Linked DNA regions of Callithrix jacchus. The protein of the gene in region 2 interacts with the protein of the main gene of each other region in a pairwise test. Links are inferred from orthologs where the notes say so. Each region holds a gene or a part of one and is shown on either strand. Other genes may lie near its edges. The genes, in order: ubiquitin-conjugating enzyme E2 C and MAPK7.

What was found.
Region 1: the proteins of MAPK7 (region 2) and ubiquitin-conjugating enzyme E2 C interact in binary tests that used the Homo sapiens proteins (3 or more experiments, as listed by UniProt). The two-hybrid records come from large-scale screens. The link is inferred for Callithrix jacchus from reciprocal best matches to the Homo sapiens genes MAPK7 and UBE2C.

The regions. Positions count from the first base shown.
Region 1 is NC_133507.1:94,914,858-94,917,813, forward strand, and holds ubiquitin-conjugating enzyme E2 C, read right to left. Parts: upstream 1,503-2,956; 5' UTR 1,450-1,502; coding exon 910-1,449; 3' UTR 721-909; downstream 1-720. UniProt on the Homo sapiens protein: Accepts ubiquitin from the E1 complex and catalyzes its covalent attachment to other proteins. In vitro catalyzes 'Lys-11'- and 'Lys-48'-linked polyubiquitination.
Region 2 is NC_133506.1:83,276,447-83,280,941, reverse strand, and holds the start of MAPK7 (mitogen-activated protein kinase 7), read right to left. Parts: upstream 2,805-4,495; 5' UTR 2,656-2,804; intron 2,572-2,655; exon of another isoform or gene 2,428-2,571; intron 2,161-2,427; 5' UTR 2,156-2,160; coding exon 1,924-2,155; intron 1,290-1,923; coding exon 1,124-1,289; exon of another isoform or gene 570-1,123; intron 463-569; coding exon 1-462. UniProt on the Homo sapiens protein: Plays a role in various cellular processes such as proliferation, differentiation and cell survival. The upstream activator of MAPK7 is the MAPK kinase MAP2K5.

The DNA.
Region 1 (2,956 bases), on a different chromosome or scaffold from region 2:
CTAAATCATCAATAAATCTTTGAAACCACAATGTTTATTTTCAATGGTCATTTAATTGTGTCAGTTTATTTTATTAGCCAAAGTTTGTAGTATCATACTGCCCTTTGATGCTATTTGGTGCCTGGAAAATATGCAGTACAGGCTTTTCTTTCCTTCTTGTTCCCTAACATTTCTGGGGCTTGGGGGGAGACAGGAAGGGAAAAATGTTCGTGAGTCTTCACTGCTGTATTGCTCGCATAGCTCAAAGACTACGTTAGAATCATCACATCTTTCCTGAAATATGTTGCCAGCCTGCCCTTGGAAGCAGAGTCCTGATAACCTTGTGTTAAAGAGTGTCTAATGCACTAGACATTTATTTAAGATCGCTTATGTGCTAATAATGGAGACATTCAACACAGTGCCCAATTTCCTGTATTTAAACTTACTGTTAGGTCACCCTAACAACAAAACATTTCTGTTGTTTTCCTTTTATGCTTCTTTCCCTAATAAACTGTGGAAAAACTCAGAAAGAAAATTAAAAACATTTTAAGATTGCAAAAGTATAATCTTTTGAAAATGCTGCAATGTCAAGCAATGTATTTACAAAGCAATGCTGACATTTTAAAAACAGATAACATTCAATAAGTTTATTTCATTGTATTATCTCTAAGATTTTCTGAGCTATTTCTTTTTGTTTTTTTTTTCCCCCGGCCAACTTTATTTATTTATTTTTTGTCTAAAAAAACGACCAAAATGCATTTATTTAATATACATCACAAGGGCTCAACCGAGGCTTAATTTAAAAGACAAAACAAAACAAAAATAACACCACAGCTCAAGATACAGAGTCCTATACAGAAATCACAAAAAGGACAGAAGACCTAAGGAAAAATGAAAAAGATGACACAAGGACAGGCTGAGCAGCCTGGGTCAAGGCTCCTGCCTGGTGACCTGCTTTGAGTAGGTTTCTTGCAGGTACTTCTTAAAAGCTGTGGGGTTTTTCCAGAGCTCAGCAGCATGTGTGTTCAAGGGACTATGGATGTTGGGTTCTCCTAGCAGGCTCTGGATGGAGAGCAGAATGGTCCTGACATCATACAGGGCAGACAACTTGTCCTTCAGGATGTCGAGGCATATGTTACCCTGGGTGTCCACATTGGGGTGGTAGCAGGGTGTGAGGAACTTCACCGTGGGCTCATTGTAAGGGTAGCCACTGGGGAACTCTAGCGAGAGCTTACACCTCAGGTCTTCATATACTGTTCCAGCTGCTCCATGGATGGTCCCTACCCATTTGAAAAGGTTGTCTGATTCAGGGAAGGCAGAAATCCCTTTATCGCCAGACATCATTAGGGTCATCAGCTCCTGCTGTAGCCTTTTGCCCACGGGGCCCCGGGCGGCGCCCCCGCTCGGCTGGGCTCCTTTACGGGCGGCAGCGACGCTAGTGGCGGCTGGGTCGCGGTTTTGGGAGGCCATCCGGGCGGCGCTGGCAGAGAGACAGGAACTCGGAGAACACGACTGCAACTGCCTGGCCAACTTTATTTTTAAAAATCAGGGAGGGCCAGGCGCGGTGGCTCAAGCCTATACTCCCAGCACTTTGGGAGGCTGAGGCGGGTGGATCACGACATCAAGAGATCGAGACCATCCTGATCAACATGGTGAAACCCCGTCTCTACTAAAAATACAAAAAATTAGCTGGACATGGTGGCGTGTGCCTGTAATCCCAGCTACTCGGGAGGCTGAGGCAGGAGAATTGCCTGAACCCGGGAGGCAGAGGTTGTGGTGAGCCGAGATCGTGCCATTGCACTCCAGCCTGGGTAACAGGAGCGAAACTCCATCTCAAAAAAAAAAAAAGAAAAAGAAAATATGTGGTGAGGCTGAGAAACAAGAAGTACGATTTTTTTTTCTCGAGGCGGAGTTTCGCTCTTGTTACCCAGGCTGGAGTGCAATGGCATGATCTCGGCTCACCGCAACCTCTGTCTCCCAGGTTCAGGCAATTCTCCTGCCTCAGACTCCCGAGTAGCTGAGACTACAGGCGCGCACCACCATGCCCAGCTAATTTTTGTATTTTTAGTAGAGATGGGGTTTCACCTTGTTGACCAGGATGGTCTCGATCTCTTGACCTCATGATCCACGCGCCTCGAACTCCCAAAGTGCTGGGATTATAGGCGTGAGCCACCGCGTCCGGCTGAAGTATGATTTAGTCTGAATATATAGCAGGGCTAGAGGAAGTGGCAGAATGTAGGGCACGAGGCCAAAATAGATTATAGGGGATTTGAGCTTTGTCTTATGGAAAATAGGAACTACTTAAGGTTGGTAAGCAAATACATTCAAGTTCTAAGTTGATCTACCTGACAAAAAGCTGGTGCAATAGTTTGGGTGAGAAACAATAAGGGCTTGAACTACAGATGATGGTGAAGAGAGGATTCAAGGGAACCAGAACCTTGGACTCAACTCCAGACCAGTGGGATACTACAATGTGAGTGAGGCCATTTTGGAACTTCCAGTTTGGCCCAGCCCCAGTGGAGAGCAGCTGATATGAAGTGGGGGAAGAGCCACACCATCCTCTTTGAGCTCTGCCCAAATTCCCGCTTTAAGCCATTACATTCTGGGTGCCTTTTTAGCAAGAAGAGATAACTGAGACAGTACAGCCATCCTAGGTATTGTGGCGCATTGGTTCCAGGACCTCCTGGGGACAACCAAATCCAAGGGTGCTCAAGTCTTTTATATAAAATGGCATAGGCCAGGGCATGGTGGCTTATGCCTGTAATCTCAGCATTTTGGGAGGCTGAGGTGGGTGGATCACTTGAGGTCAGGAGTTCGAGACCAGCCTGGCCAACATGGTGAGATCCTGTCTCTACTAAAAAATACAAAAATTGGCCGGGTGCAGTGGCTCACACCTGTAATTTCAGCACTTTGGGAGACCAAGGCAGGTGGATCATGAGGTCAGGAGATTGAGATCATCCTGGCCAACATGATGAAA
Region 2 (4,495 bases):
TGAATCACAGCTGGTGATGGGGTACCCAGAACCATCATGATGAGCTGTAGCTGGTGTACGTAGTTTTTGCCCGGGAAGAGCTGGCGCCGGGCTAGCATCTCACCAAAGATGCAGCCCACAGACCAGAGGTCAATAGCCTGTGTGTACTCATGCAAAGAGAGCATGAGCTCGGGGGCACGGTACCAGCGAGTGGCCACATACTCAGTCATGAAGTACTGATGTTCAGCGGGTGAGGTACACAGGCCACGAGCCATACCAAAGTCACCAATCTTGAGCTCACAGTTCTCATTCACCAATAGGTTGGAGGGCTTGAGGTCACGGTGGATGACCTGAGCCGAGTGCATGTACTTCAGGCCCCGCAGCAGTTGGTACAGGAAGTACCGCACGTGTTCCAGCGTGAGGGGCTGTGAGGAGTGGATGATCTGATGCAGGTCACTCTCCATCAGGTCCAGGACCACATAGCTGGAAGGGGAAGGAAGGGAGAGAAGCATGGGTTGGCCTGACCACAGTCCAGGGACAAGCCCCATCCTCACCACACCCTTCCGATTCCAGGCAGATAACAGCCTTACCCTGGGACCCCGTAGGGGTGACGGCATGGTATGGAGGAAGAGCATCACGTTTTAGATTCTCTATGACTTTTCCATGAACTTGGTTAAATCACTTTTGTCTCCAGACCTAGTTTCCCCCATCAGATAAAAATGGGGTTGGACTACACCAGGGCTGGCCAATAGGTTTCCTTTTGGGGCTATCTCCATTGTTTGGTAGTGGCAGCTTGAAGAACTATGATGAAAACTGACCAGGCTTGTCCACTGTCTGTAGGAAAGTGTTCTGCGATTGATTAGTGAAGTCAGCTATGGGAATAGGAGGGTGTAGACATGGTAGGAATGTCCTACATTTGCCATCCTATACACTAAGATTCTATAAAATTGAAAAATCATCTGTACTCTTCTTAAGGAATAAGTTGTCCCTGGCAACACTCTAAAGGGGAAGGGTCCTAGAATAGCGGGAATTTTCCCAGCCTGCTTCACATTAGGTTCAGCTGCCTTTCTGGAACTTCAGCAATATGGTTGCAGCCTTCAGAAAAGGTCCCAAGTCTGGCTCCCTCTCCCATCCCGCTTCTTACACAGATTTGAATTCGCCGTAGGGCACAGTGGGCCTCAGGATGTCCTTGATGGCGATGATGTTGTCATGCTTGAAGTGTTTGAGGATCTTCAGCTCCCTGAGGGTCCGCTTGGCATTGGTCACCACATCGAAAGCATTAGGGATCTTCTTGATGGCCACCTGCTGGCCTGAGGAGCAGGGAACAGGGACATACCAGAGAGTACCTTGGAGAAACTGCAGAGTCGAACCCAGCTCCTATCAACACCTCCCTTTTAGGATACAAATTAACAACAGCTACCAAGTACTGGGTACATACCATGTGCCAAGCCCTGGGCTAAGCAGGTTATCTACGTTATTAAACGTTACCTTCACAACTTCCCTACGGGGCAGGTCCCAAAAGGTCAACGTGGCTTAGTAACTTGTTGGAGGCTGCGCGGCTGCCCAGTGGTGGAGTCCAGCCTCTGATGCCTACACCCTCTCCATCTCAGACCTCACCCATCCCACCACCGGTTCCTTGTGCCAGTGTCTGGCTCCAGAACACATTTCTCTTCTAGACACAAAGGACTGGCTCTCCATTTTGGTCTAACTGGGACTGTCATTTTTCTAAGGAGGCAGTAGGTAGGCAGGATGGCAAAACCACCAGGCCAGGGTTTCGGAGAATCGAGCCTCCTCAGAGGCTGGCACACGGAGGGCCCTGGTCAGTGTGTGTTGATTGGAGCCAGAACTCGCACCCTGCTTTCTTTCCCGGCTGTGTGGGACGGGCCGTTTTCCCACTCCCTGCAACGCCGCCAAATCTGGGGGTCGACGGCTCAGGAAGCTCACCGGTGAGGCGGCGGCGAGCGGAGGACACCACTCCGTAGGCCCCGTTGCCTATAGTCTCAATGATCTCGTACTCGTCGCCCACGTCAAAGGTCACATCGAAGGAGCGGGCTTTAAGCAGTGCCAGGTTCTTGGCCGCTACAGAGGCAGCAGTGTGGGCGGGTTCGCCCTTCACGGGCCCGGGGGGCTCCGCAGAGCCGTCCTCGCTGTCTTCCTCCTTCAGGAGCTCGGCCATGGTGTCTGTGTGGAGATGCGGGTGAGGAGGGGCCCGCCTCCCGTAGGCCTCAGTGTCCCCTCTGCGGGCTGGGGAGCAGGACCAGGGAACTTTCCAGTTCCCTAAACCGACGGGAGCCGGAAGCGCGCGCCTGGTTCGGGGCAGACCACGCTACCCCGGGGGTCGGAGGCCAGAGCCGGGGCCCCGCCAGGTTCAGGGGAGGGGAAAGCGAGGCGCTGGCCAGGAAGAAAGGGAGGGGCGGGGCACCTGGGTTTACTCGGGGCCGCACTCACCCCCGCGCCTCCTCAGGGCTTTCAGAGGTCCCGAGGCTCTCCGGCCTCCCGTCCCCAGCGCGGGGGTCTCCGAGGGTGGCCAGCTTACTTGTTCAGGGGCCGCCACCACCACCTCAGCGTCGAGAGCTGCCCTGCCCGTCCCCCTCCGCCCCGCCTCCCAAGACCACGCTCCCTCTAGCTTCTGGCCAATCGCTGAGCTACTTCTGCGGAGAGTCCTGTCCCTTCTACCTGCTGCGTCCAATCAGAGCCCACCGGCCGAGGAAGCCACGCCTGGCGCGCGCCGCTATCCAGCTAACAGGCGGGAGACGCCCAAAGGGTGCCGGGCACTTCGCAGGGTGTGCTCCCCGCCCGGCACTGCCTTCAGACGCATGCGCACTGGCAGCCAGGCGCCAAGTGAATGGAAGGAACGCCCCTGCACGTAACGCGCGCGTCCCCATCTAGCACTCGACCTCGTCCGGCCAATCACAGCTAGTCCCGTGAGCTCAGGGAACGGCAGGTCTCTCTGGAAGCCTGAGATGCCCGGGACTGGCACTGTTACCTTGGCTACTGGCTCCCGAAGTCACCCTCTTTGGGGTGCACCTTCCCTTATCAGTCCCCACCGCCCAGGGAATTGTGCCCACCATTTTCTCGGTCCCAGGAGCTCTGAGAATGTATCATCCCCGGTAAAGGGGCCCGTCACGGCCAACCACAGAGATCCCGGTCCTCCGGGATTCCAGAGCGTCCGACCGAAACGTCCGCTGACTTCCGGTGGCTGAACCTCTCCGCAGCTTCCGGCCAAGTTGGACGGCGCCTCGCGGTTTCTGGGCCTCCAGGCATGTTTCCTCTGTTCGTTTGTTGGTCCCGTGATTGCTGTGCTTTGGGCTGCTTCGGAGTTAACCGAGACGGCCGCCCAGCCTCTGTCCCTCTTCGGAGTCGCGAGTCGGCGGAGTCCACGCTGGAAACCAGCTGCCCCGACCCACCCCAGAGTTCGATAGTTGATTCGTTCACTTACGTAGCAAATATGTATCGGGCACCACTCCTCTAAGGCTTAGTGCCGGGGGACGCGGAGGAGGGGGAGAAGGTGGACATGGCGGATAGTGTGAACTGAGAGGAAAAGTTTTCTAAAGAGCCTGAAGTAGGGCTGAAAAGTGAGGAATCTTGGTTTCACTTCCTAGGCAGTTTCTAGAAAAAAGCAATACAAATATTCATACCTCCCCTTTCGTGTACAAAATGTAGCATATTATACGCTTTTCCTGTTGATCATTCCATACCAAAAACTGGAACGGTCCCTCAGCTTTAAACAACTTTTAGCCACGTACCATAAAACCCTTTTATAGTGTACAATTCAGTGTTTTTTGCTGTATTCACAGTTGAGCAGCCATCATCACTGCCTAATTTTAGGTGGAGTGGTTTATAAAACATCTTCATCGCCCCTACAAGAAACCTATGTAAACCAAAAAGTATCTGAGACAAGTGTAAAGTCAATTTAGAAAGTTTATTTTGTCAAAGTTAAGGACATGGTGGTAACATAGTCTCATGTGCCCAAGGTAGTCAGGGCACAGCCCGCCTTTATACATTTTAGGAAGACATAATACACAAATCAATACATTTTGACGTTGATTTTATGAGCTTATTGGCCATTTGTCTCCTTTGGGGAAATGTCTGTTCAATGTCTATTCTGGAACGGCTGGACAACTCGAAGGGGAGGGACTTCCAAGTCACAGGTAGATTTAAAGATATCATTAGGGTTATTATCTATAGAAAGGAATATCTGGGTTATAATATGGGGTTGTGGAGACCTAGGATTTTTTTTCTTATTTTTTTTGAGAGGGATTCTCGCTTTGTCACCCAGGCTGAAGTGCAGTGGGGCCATCTTGGCTCACTGCAACCTCTGCCTCCTGGGTTCAAGCGATTCTCCTGCCTCAGCCTCCTAAGTAGCTGGGATTACAGGCATGCGCCACCACACCCGGCTAATTTAGTAGAGACGGGGTTTCACCTTGTTGGCCAAGCTGGTCTCGAACTCCTGACCTCAGGTGATCCACTGGCCTCGGCCTCCCAAAGTGCTGGGATTACAGGCGTGAGCCACTGC